Linked DNA regions of Daphnia pulex. The protein of the gene in region 1 binds, or shares a complex with, the protein of each later gene. Links are inferred from orthologs where the notes say so. Each region holds a gene or a part of one and is shown in the gene's direction. Other genes may lie near its edges.

Region 1 (4,430 bases):
GCGATCGAGTTTCATTCAGCATACCAGTAATCAACTAGTGCGGATATACCCGAAAGGCTCGCGAACTGACAGTTCGAACTACGACCCATCACAGTTCTGGAGCGCAGGCTGTCAGATAGGTTTATAAATAATTATTTCCTTCTTACCATAAAAGAAAAAAGAAATACTATCAATCAGTAAATTGAATTGTCTAGTGGCTTTGAACTACCAAACAAGTGGAATCTATAAAGTTATCAACGAGGCATTTTTTCAAGTTAACGGAAAGTGTGGATATGTGCTTAAGCCAGCCGTCTTGCGTAAGCCAAAAATGGGAGAAATTCCGGAAGCGGAAGCTGGATTGTGAGTTTTGATTTTGATTAGAAATGATCACGTAAAGAAATTACTATTTTATAGATCGGGTAGCAAGGTTGTTCGACTTCAAATTATAAGTGGACAAAATCTCCCGAAATTTGAAAAGAAAGTCATTGATCCCTATGTTACGGTTCAAATCATGGGTCATCCGGCTGACCGCTTTAAATTCAAAACAAAGCACGTAGACGATAATGGTATGTTTTGACCAATTTTAAGTTACGCTTTAATTTGCATTTTATATTTATCTCTATTTATACCCAGGCTTCAATCCCTGTTGGAAAGAGACGACCGAATTTCGATTACGACAGCCTGAATTAGACCTTCTTGTTATTTCGGTTAGGGACAAAGATCCTATGTCGGACGATGATTTAGTTGGTGTAAGGGTAGTCCCAGTTAAAAGTTTAAAATCAGGTGTGTATAGAAGAAATATATGTGTATCTATCATTGAGAAAGTTAACATCCAAGTTCTCGTTTTGTGTAAGGTTATGGACATATTTGCCTATTGTGTCGAGAAGGAAATCCAATACCGAACGCAACTATATTCCTTCATGTATCAATTCGTGATTTGCCATCTGCATAGTAGGATTCTGCTAGCACTTCTTCCGTACTTGGTTCTTCGATACCGTGCGGTAGGCGACCATAAAAAACAAAATTGTAATAAAAACTATCCAATCCAGTCAGACTCAATAATAACAAAGGTCCTTTTAATTACTGAAAAGCTTTTTGCGGATTGACTGCTGATGCTATGTCAAATCATATGCTTACCCTTATGTCTAAAACTGTCCTTTTTTTGTTAAAAAAAGTATAAATACATGTCTATGAATATTTGAATCAAATTTATGAAGATGGGGGGGGGGGGAGGATCTCTGAGTTACAAAGAACAGTCAGAAATATCTGTGTTTCAAATATACTCTTAATATTTACCACAAAATGAATGGTTACTTGAAACAAATAACCAATATTGGTTTGCGAAGCTTCTGAAAGAACATTATCCAGCCATTTCTTTTTTTATTTGTTATGCATTACGTTTCACCGCTCAAACGAGCGGCTCACGCTAGAATTTTTTAAAATGAACAAATACACCTATTATTTATTAAGCTTAAATATAATAATAGTAGTAAAAAAAACACTAGCATCTTGCTTATTTTAATATTTTTCTAACATAACTTCCAAAACGTTTTTTTTTCAACCCTGCAAGTTGCAGGCTGCAACCGTTCAAAACATGGAGAAAATATTTTCATATTTTGACGTCCAATATCGTCTGCTGTATTCAGTTGACACTACTCATACCTCACTGTCACCGGTTGTAGCAGTTGTTTTGAATACAATTTTTGCAGTGCTCCATCAGTAGTTTTGCATATATCACATTAGGATGGGTTTATTAAGTAATCCATCCGATAAACAATTGTCTCCTTTATTGTTAAAATTTGTTGGTAAGCAGAAGGTGCTGTCCAGCTTGTTTTACATTGGAAGCATTGTGTGGTTTGTTTGTCTTGCCTATCGCCAGTTCAACGCCGGTAAATTCCTCATAAAATTTTATATTTTGTTTATTATACATTGTTTCATGATAGGAACTTATTTCTCTGAAAATGCATTATTACCTGGTCTTGTACATTCAAATTTTAAGGAAGATTTCCTTGCCCGTCAGTATGTAGCTGCCATTAAAGTAAGCCTAAGTTATTTCAAAATGTATTCCTACATACATTTCATGAATTTTAACAATGAAATTGTTTTTGTCTTGTGTAGGCAGAAGCTGAAAGATACCCAAATGGAATGCCCCATGCATTCATTGCTGCTCAGTTCAAACAATTAGGATTAGATACATTCACCCACAACTTTTCTGTCAAATATCCATTAGATGAAAATGAGGTTTTATTGGAAAATATTTATTATTTTTTTCAAAATTTAGTTACAATTACATTCTTTTTCTTAGGTTTATTCTGGCAAAAATGTTTATGGCATTTTAAGAGCTTCAAGAGGGGCTAGTACAGAATGCCTTGTAATGTCTGTTCCTTACCGACCTCCTGATTCTGTACTGACGGGAACCAACGCTGGAATTGCCGTTATGCTTTCACTGGCAGCATCTTTTCGGGGTAATTATGAGTATTAGCGTTGTCTATTGAAAACCGTATTCTGTTCTCTTTTTTTTCTTTATTTATTATCATTTTTTACATTACAATATTGGGTAGGACTAATCAACGTAAATTCTTTTTTAGCGGCCTCATACTGGGCTCGAGATGTTATTTTTGTTGTAACCGAGCATGAACAACTTGGTATGGAAGCTTGGTTAGAAGCTTATCACTATACATCGTCTGGTTCAAATTCAATTGATTTCGGGCAGTTGGATGCCCGTGCTGGTGCCATACAAGTGCGTCATCGTATATATTGTTTTCGAGTAAACCAGCTAATCCATTGAACAAATATGCATATTAGGCTGCAATCAATTTAGAAATCCCATACGAAAAGATATCTCATATCGATGTACGAATGGAAGGGTTGAATGGGCAACTTCCAAATTTAGATCTCGTTAACCTTGTGCATAGACTGTTCCAGCAGGAGAGATTTACAACCACTTTGAAAGAGAGGGTGAATTTTTGTATTAATTGTCGTCATCTTGTAGCTAAATCTAAATAATCGTCCTTTTATAGGAGGACTATCCGGATCCTCTTAGCATGGAAGGTTGGATATATTCCGCTTCGTCATTACTGACTTTAATGGCCTCTCAAGCAACTGGAGTGCCCACTGGAAACCATGGCCTCTTCCACCGGTCTGTGATGTCCACTTGTTTGTTCTACCATGAAAACAAATAGTGACAAATTTTTTGTTGCCTTGATATTTGTCTCCATAGGTTTGGAATTGAAGCCTTAACAGTGGCTGGCTCGTATAAGAGAGGGTGGCACGGATCAAATTTTCTGTTGATGGGAAGGTAATTTGAAAATGACTGAACGTAGCTAGCCATTCGAGTGATGTGCACTAATGTTATCATTTAAATTTTTGCTAGAGCAATCGAGGGTATCATGAGAAGTTTGAACAACCTGCAAGAAAGATTTCACCAATCTTTTTTCTTTTATCTATTACCTGCTACCAATCGCTATGTTTCTATTGGTAGTCATATATTTTCCAACATTCTATTTCCGTAACTATTACCCTTTTTTTTATTTTTAGGTGTATATATGCCGCCATTTGGGCTTATGATTGGCTCGATGTTATTACAAGCTGTTGCACTTTATATATCACGAAAAGAGAATCCAAATGAAAAACAAAATTGGAATTTCCTTAATTTAGGCTCGTTTGTGTTGTATAGTACGATTTGTGGTTTGCTTTTTTACTCAGCGCCCGAAAAACTTACAAGATTTAATCGTTCTATGGCATTGGGGCTAAGCACGGAAGACGTTGTTTTTGGAGGATTTTGTATGCTCAGCGTAATTCATTGCATTTTAACTTCAACTGTTGGCGTCAGGTATTATGATTTTATTTATTGAAATTGTTCTTATTTAAAACAAACACTTTCTTTTCACATTTAGAATGCTGTCCATCCAACGATTATCTGCCAATTGTGTTCAATGCGCAATTCTTTTACTAACATCTACTCTGATGTACGCAGTTGCGATGGGCAATATTTCCCTAGCCGTGCTCACTTGTTTTATAATCAGTCCGGTATTTTCCATTGCCAAACCAGTTTCCCAAAGGTTTGCATTCGTTTGTATTAAATTCTTGAAAACCTTAATAGCAATTTTTTCATTGGTATTAGGTTCTTGAAATATTGCCGCTACGCTGTGCTAATGTTAGTACATCCTCTATCGCTGCTCTTTATCGCTACACTTATTGATACTTACAGAGTGTTTCCGGAGGAAATAAATCAACCTTGGAAATTTTTCGGTAAAACACATACAGCTGCCCAGCGTGCTCTGATTTACGCGGTTGTTGATGGAACGTTTTATGGAAATTGGCTTTTCTTTGCTGTATCAACTCTTTACTTGCCGCTATGGTCACTTGCCTGGGCAAATTTGGGTAATTTATCACGTTAATAAAATTTTGTCGCCCTTTGTTGTAAATTCCGTAAGTCAACCGATTACATT
Region 2 (3,729 bases), on another chromosome or scaffold:
TTTCAGACTATACAATTTCTGTTATTATGTCCATACAGTTATTTTTATACTAAATAAAGAATCAAAGTTGATTTTAAAGCGTGTGTATTTTTCCCATAACATAAAATTGATTGGAAACTATTGCAATGCGTTCCAAATTGGCATTTCTCATAAATAATTGGCACACAAAATGACAATTGACTCGGTTGATGAGAGCGCCAATTATTAGTAACCGCCGCAATCGCCGCCACCCAGGAAACAGGATTGAATAGAGGTATCGGGATTTTTGCAGTAAGGCGATGTGGGATCCCGGCAACCTGTTTGGCTTCCACTGCAAGTGTAAAATCCTTTGTAGGAGCATTTGCAGGCATTTCCCGAAGAAGCAGGCTTGCTAATCGAGCAACCGCCGCTGTGATAATTGCAATCACACGCCATCGCCGAGTAAGAGGATAGGACGCACAATAAGACCAACACAAAGGCGAATCGCTGGGATAACAAAATTCAAACATTAAAAAAATGTTATAAAACAAAATACAAAAATTCAATTTGAATTCTTAAGGGTCATTGTGTTAAGTACTTACAAGCATGGAGTTTTGCAACATTTTCCTTGTTTTTTTAACACTTTGGCTAGTTGACTGAAGAGGAAGAATGTAGTTGGATGAATGTTGAAATGTGAACAAGTGTTTCGCGTTTTATACCATGGCCTCTGTGTGTTGTAAAAACGCCTATTTACTTTACCTGTTTGAGTGGTGGACCTTTCAACTTTTCATCCTTTGTGCAAGTTCACTTTTGAAAGTTAAAGGATCAACGACACGAGCTGAGATAAATTTTAAACCATCCCTGCAATAGGCATGATAGTAATTTTAGCTCGAGCAAGTTCAAGGGCATTGAGTCCATTGACCGATCAGATTTATTAATGTTTATCTGGAACTTTGATTTCGGATAGCGCTGAATGTGAATGACCTAAAATAAAAATGTTAAAAAATCTTTCGAGAATTGTTTATTATATTACTATTAGGTATTAACAATTTAGATAATAAGATCACTCATTGCACATTGGCATAAAGAAAGATATATAATCAGATTCACGTTCAAATTCAATGAAACACTAAAATCGACCAAATACCGCATAGAGCAACTGCAAATCAATTGGCATAACACAAATTTTCAAGATGTAACGTCGTCTGCTTGTGATTCTGTCAACATCCAGCAACACCAGCGTTCTAAAGTGACGCACCCGGCGGTCTTTGGAAATGCCCAGTTCATGGAAAAGTAATGCTTTAGGTGTAATAATACGTGCATGGTTGTTCAATTCGGGATTTCACGACTCGCTGTCGGATAGAGTGGAAATTTCGACTCCACTGAATTCGTGGAAGCGAGGTAAGAAGAAAAGCTACAGAAACGTCGATTGCACCTCTCCTTTTCCTTTCAACTCATTTTGTTTATTTTCTAGTGATTGAAGGTGCTTATCTCCATCAGAGGGCTCAATCTCCTTACGAAGGAGATGTGTTCCATGAAACTCCAACGGGGCTCGTTTTCTATACTTATTTATTGAAACTGAATTTCAATGTCCTGCAAGCAGTATTCATTTTGTGTGATGTCCTTACTGCATTTGTGTTGACTGAAGCAACCAGGATATTTTTCCAAGATATTGTAAGTACCGATTTGTTTTCCTTTCTACTCATATGATTAATTAATTCATAATTCAATTCAGGTTAAAGATCAGCAGAACAAAAAGAAAACTTACCATAAAGATGCCAAAAAGATTACGCTGAAGAAAGAAGAAGTTGCTAAAGTTCCCCAGTATGTCACAGCTGCTTACCTGTTGAACCCGTACATAGTGTGTAGCTGTGTAGCGATGACCACCACAGTCTTTGCAAATTTGATCCTATCCTTGACACTACTGGCAATGGCCAAGAAGTCCAGATTGCTCTCAACTTGCTGTCTTGCCTTTGCCTCCCACCAGAGTTTTTATCCAGTTATGCTCGTGGTACCCATTGCCATCGCAACAGCCAAGGAGAAGCAATTGTTCAAGTCAGTCTTTCTGACCATCTTCAGCTTTGCATTCTTTACAGCATTATTGCTGTGGTTCTCTTACCATTCAACGGGAAGCTGGCGGTTCATCGAATCTACTTATGGTTGCATGTAAGTTGTTTTATATTTTATGTTATTTAAGATTTTATAAATATTCTCTTGTCATTCTTTTCTTTTTTACAGCTTGAAGGTGCCTGATTTGACACCCAATATCGGTCTCTTCTGGTACTTTTTCACCGAGATGTTTGACCATTTTTATCTATTCTTTACTTACGTATTCCAACTCAACCCTTTCATCTACGTCATTCCACTTGCTATACGATTCGATGATAACGTTCCTTTGCTGAGTTTCACTCTGTGCGCCATCATGGCCATTTTCAAATCCTACCCTTCGATAGGTGACGTCGGATTCTACTTAGCCCTCTTACCCCTTTGGAATCACCTAGTCCCTTGTAAGTTAATACCGCTTTACCATTACTAATTGAAATCCTGTTTTAACAGCAAAACATTCCTGCAGATTTTAGGCACTCTTTCATCGTTGGCTGCATTTTCTTGGTGACTTCGGTCCTAAGTCCCATCCTTTGGTACCTGTGGATCTACACTGGTTCTGCAAATGCGAATTTCTTCTTTGCCACTACGCTGGCATTTGCTACAGCTCAGGTATAAATTTAAAGTAAAACTTGTCACGCCATTCGAATTCATTCATTTTACATTCAACTGTTATTGCAGATTTTTCTTCTGACGGATGTACTGTTCGCCCAAGCAAAATATGACTACCATCTCAAACACGGTATCGACTTAAAAATCAACGGTAAAGAAGGAATGCTAGTCTTGGAATGATGGCCATGATTGTGTATTATTATTGTCATCATATACAGCCACTTTTCTCTATGCTAATTTAACTAATGTAATTCTACTACCGAAGTAATTATTTCTCACTCCTCTCCATCGACGACACATCCACCGAATCATAATTGTCCTCTCCGTATTTATTATGGAGAGTATTTCCAAAACATCATCGGTGTATGTTTTCGTCGTCTAGTAGTAAAAAAATTGGAATTTAAGAAGTTGAGAATTTGTCGGTAGGACTACGATTTTATGTCTGGTCTACGGAAACCATTCTCCGCACGCGTGTATGGTGACGGGGTTTTCTTCGAGGTTCAGCCGACTGATTTGCTGACATATTTCAATGCCGCTATGCACGTAACCGAAGACGGTGGTCATCTGGCTGTTGTTGGGATGATCACGGCATATGACGGAGAACTCTGAGCAAACGTAGACGCCTCCAATCGTCCTTCCGCGATGACGCATACGTAGGGCACCTACAGACTCGTCCAGAGTTGATTGGTCGGCAATGAAACGCTGTGTTCTTCCATCCTGCCACCCCATAGGCAATAAACCAGCAAATCCGTCCTGATCTTGTAGCGTTTCCAAGTCTTCATATTTTCCAGCAGTAAAGGATTCTCCACTTTTATTCTAAAGGGAAAAGTAAATAAATAATGACAGAAACAAAAGCAGCTTATTTAAATTTAATCAATTTACCATAAATATGGAGCATTCCTTGTAAGATAGACCACCGGAACCGGTACAGTAATTCATGAAACGCCTGCTCATCATGGGGGCCTCGTCGAAATTGAGGCGAAAGACGACTTTCGGCTGGATAGTGTTATTGATTCTAAATTGCATGTAGCACATTTGATGTCCATCTCCCGAAGA

What was found.
Region 2: the proteins of glycosylphosphatidylinositol anchor attachment 1 protein-like (region 1) and phosphatidylinositol glycan anchor biosynthesis class U protein-like are in contact, whole or in part, in a cryo-EM structure (PDB 8IMX), measured with the Homo sapiens proteins. The link is inferred for Daphnia pulex from reciprocal best matches to the Homo sapiens genes GPAA1 and PIGU. Residues at the interface, in NP_003792.1 of Homo sapiens: Gln245, Leu310, Arg311, Arg313, Phe358, Leu359, Ile371, Ala389, Leu390, Trp393, His397, Leu500, Ile504, Leu508, Cys512, Leu515, Thr516; in NP_536724.1 of Homo sapiens: Tyr349, Ile355, Phe356, Cys360, Ile363, Val364, Leu367, Leu368, Val371, Leu372, Leu375, Ile377, Tyr378, Ala379, Gly380, Ser381, Phe386.

Annotation. Positions count from the first base shown.
Region 1 is NC_060021.1:10,694,357-10,698,786, forward strand, and holds the start of glycosylphosphatidylinositol anchor attachment 1 protein-like, read left to right. Parts: upstream 1-1,529; 5' UTR 1,530-1,723; coding exon 1,724-1,868; intron 1,869-1,922; coding exon 1,923-2,017; intron 2,018-2,097; coding exon 2,098-2,220; intron 2,221-2,284; coding exon 2,285-2,444; intron 2,445-2,567; coding exon 2,568-2,719; intron 2,720-2,784; coding exon 2,785-2,937; intron 2,938-2,999; coding exon 3,000-3,118; intron 3,119-3,199; coding exon 3,200-3,277; intron 3,278-3,352; coding exon 3,353-3,456; intron 3,457-3,516; coding exon 3,517-3,811; intron 3,812-3,875; coding exon 3,876-4,040; intron 4,041-4,102; coding exon 4,103-4,379; 3' UTR 4,380-4,430. Other genes in the region: 1-phosphatidylinositol 4,5-bisphosphate phosphodiesterase delta-4-like, read left to right, coding at 1-119, 195-339, 394-545, 613-762, 834-931. UniProt on the Homo sapiens protein: Component of the glycosylphosphatidylinositol-anchor (GPI-anchor) transamidase (GPI-T) complex that catalyzes the formation of the linkage between a proprotein and a GPI-anchor and participates in GPI anchored protein biosynthesis. Binds GPI-anchor.
Region 2 is NC_060023.1:1,130,796-1,134,524, reverse strand, and holds phosphatidylinositol glycan anchor biosynthesis class U protein-like, read left to right. Parts: upstream 1-1,133; 5' UTR 1,134-1,232; coding exon 1,233-1,359; intron 1,360-1,432; coding exon 1,433-1,632; intron 1,633-1,693; coding exon 1,694-2,124; intron 2,125-2,196; coding exon 2,197-2,465; intron 2,466-2,530; coding exon 2,531-2,673; intron 2,674-2,742; coding exon 2,743-2,853; 3' UTR 2,854-2,910; downstream 2,911-3,729. Other genes in the region: uncharacterized protein LOC124197055, read right to left, coding at 3,121-3,489, 3,556-3,729. UniProt on the Homo sapiens protein: Component of the glycosylphosphatidylinositol-anchor (GPI-anchor) transamidase (GPI-T) complex that catalyzes the formation of the linkage between a proprotein and a GPI-anchor and participates in GPI anchored protein biosynthesis.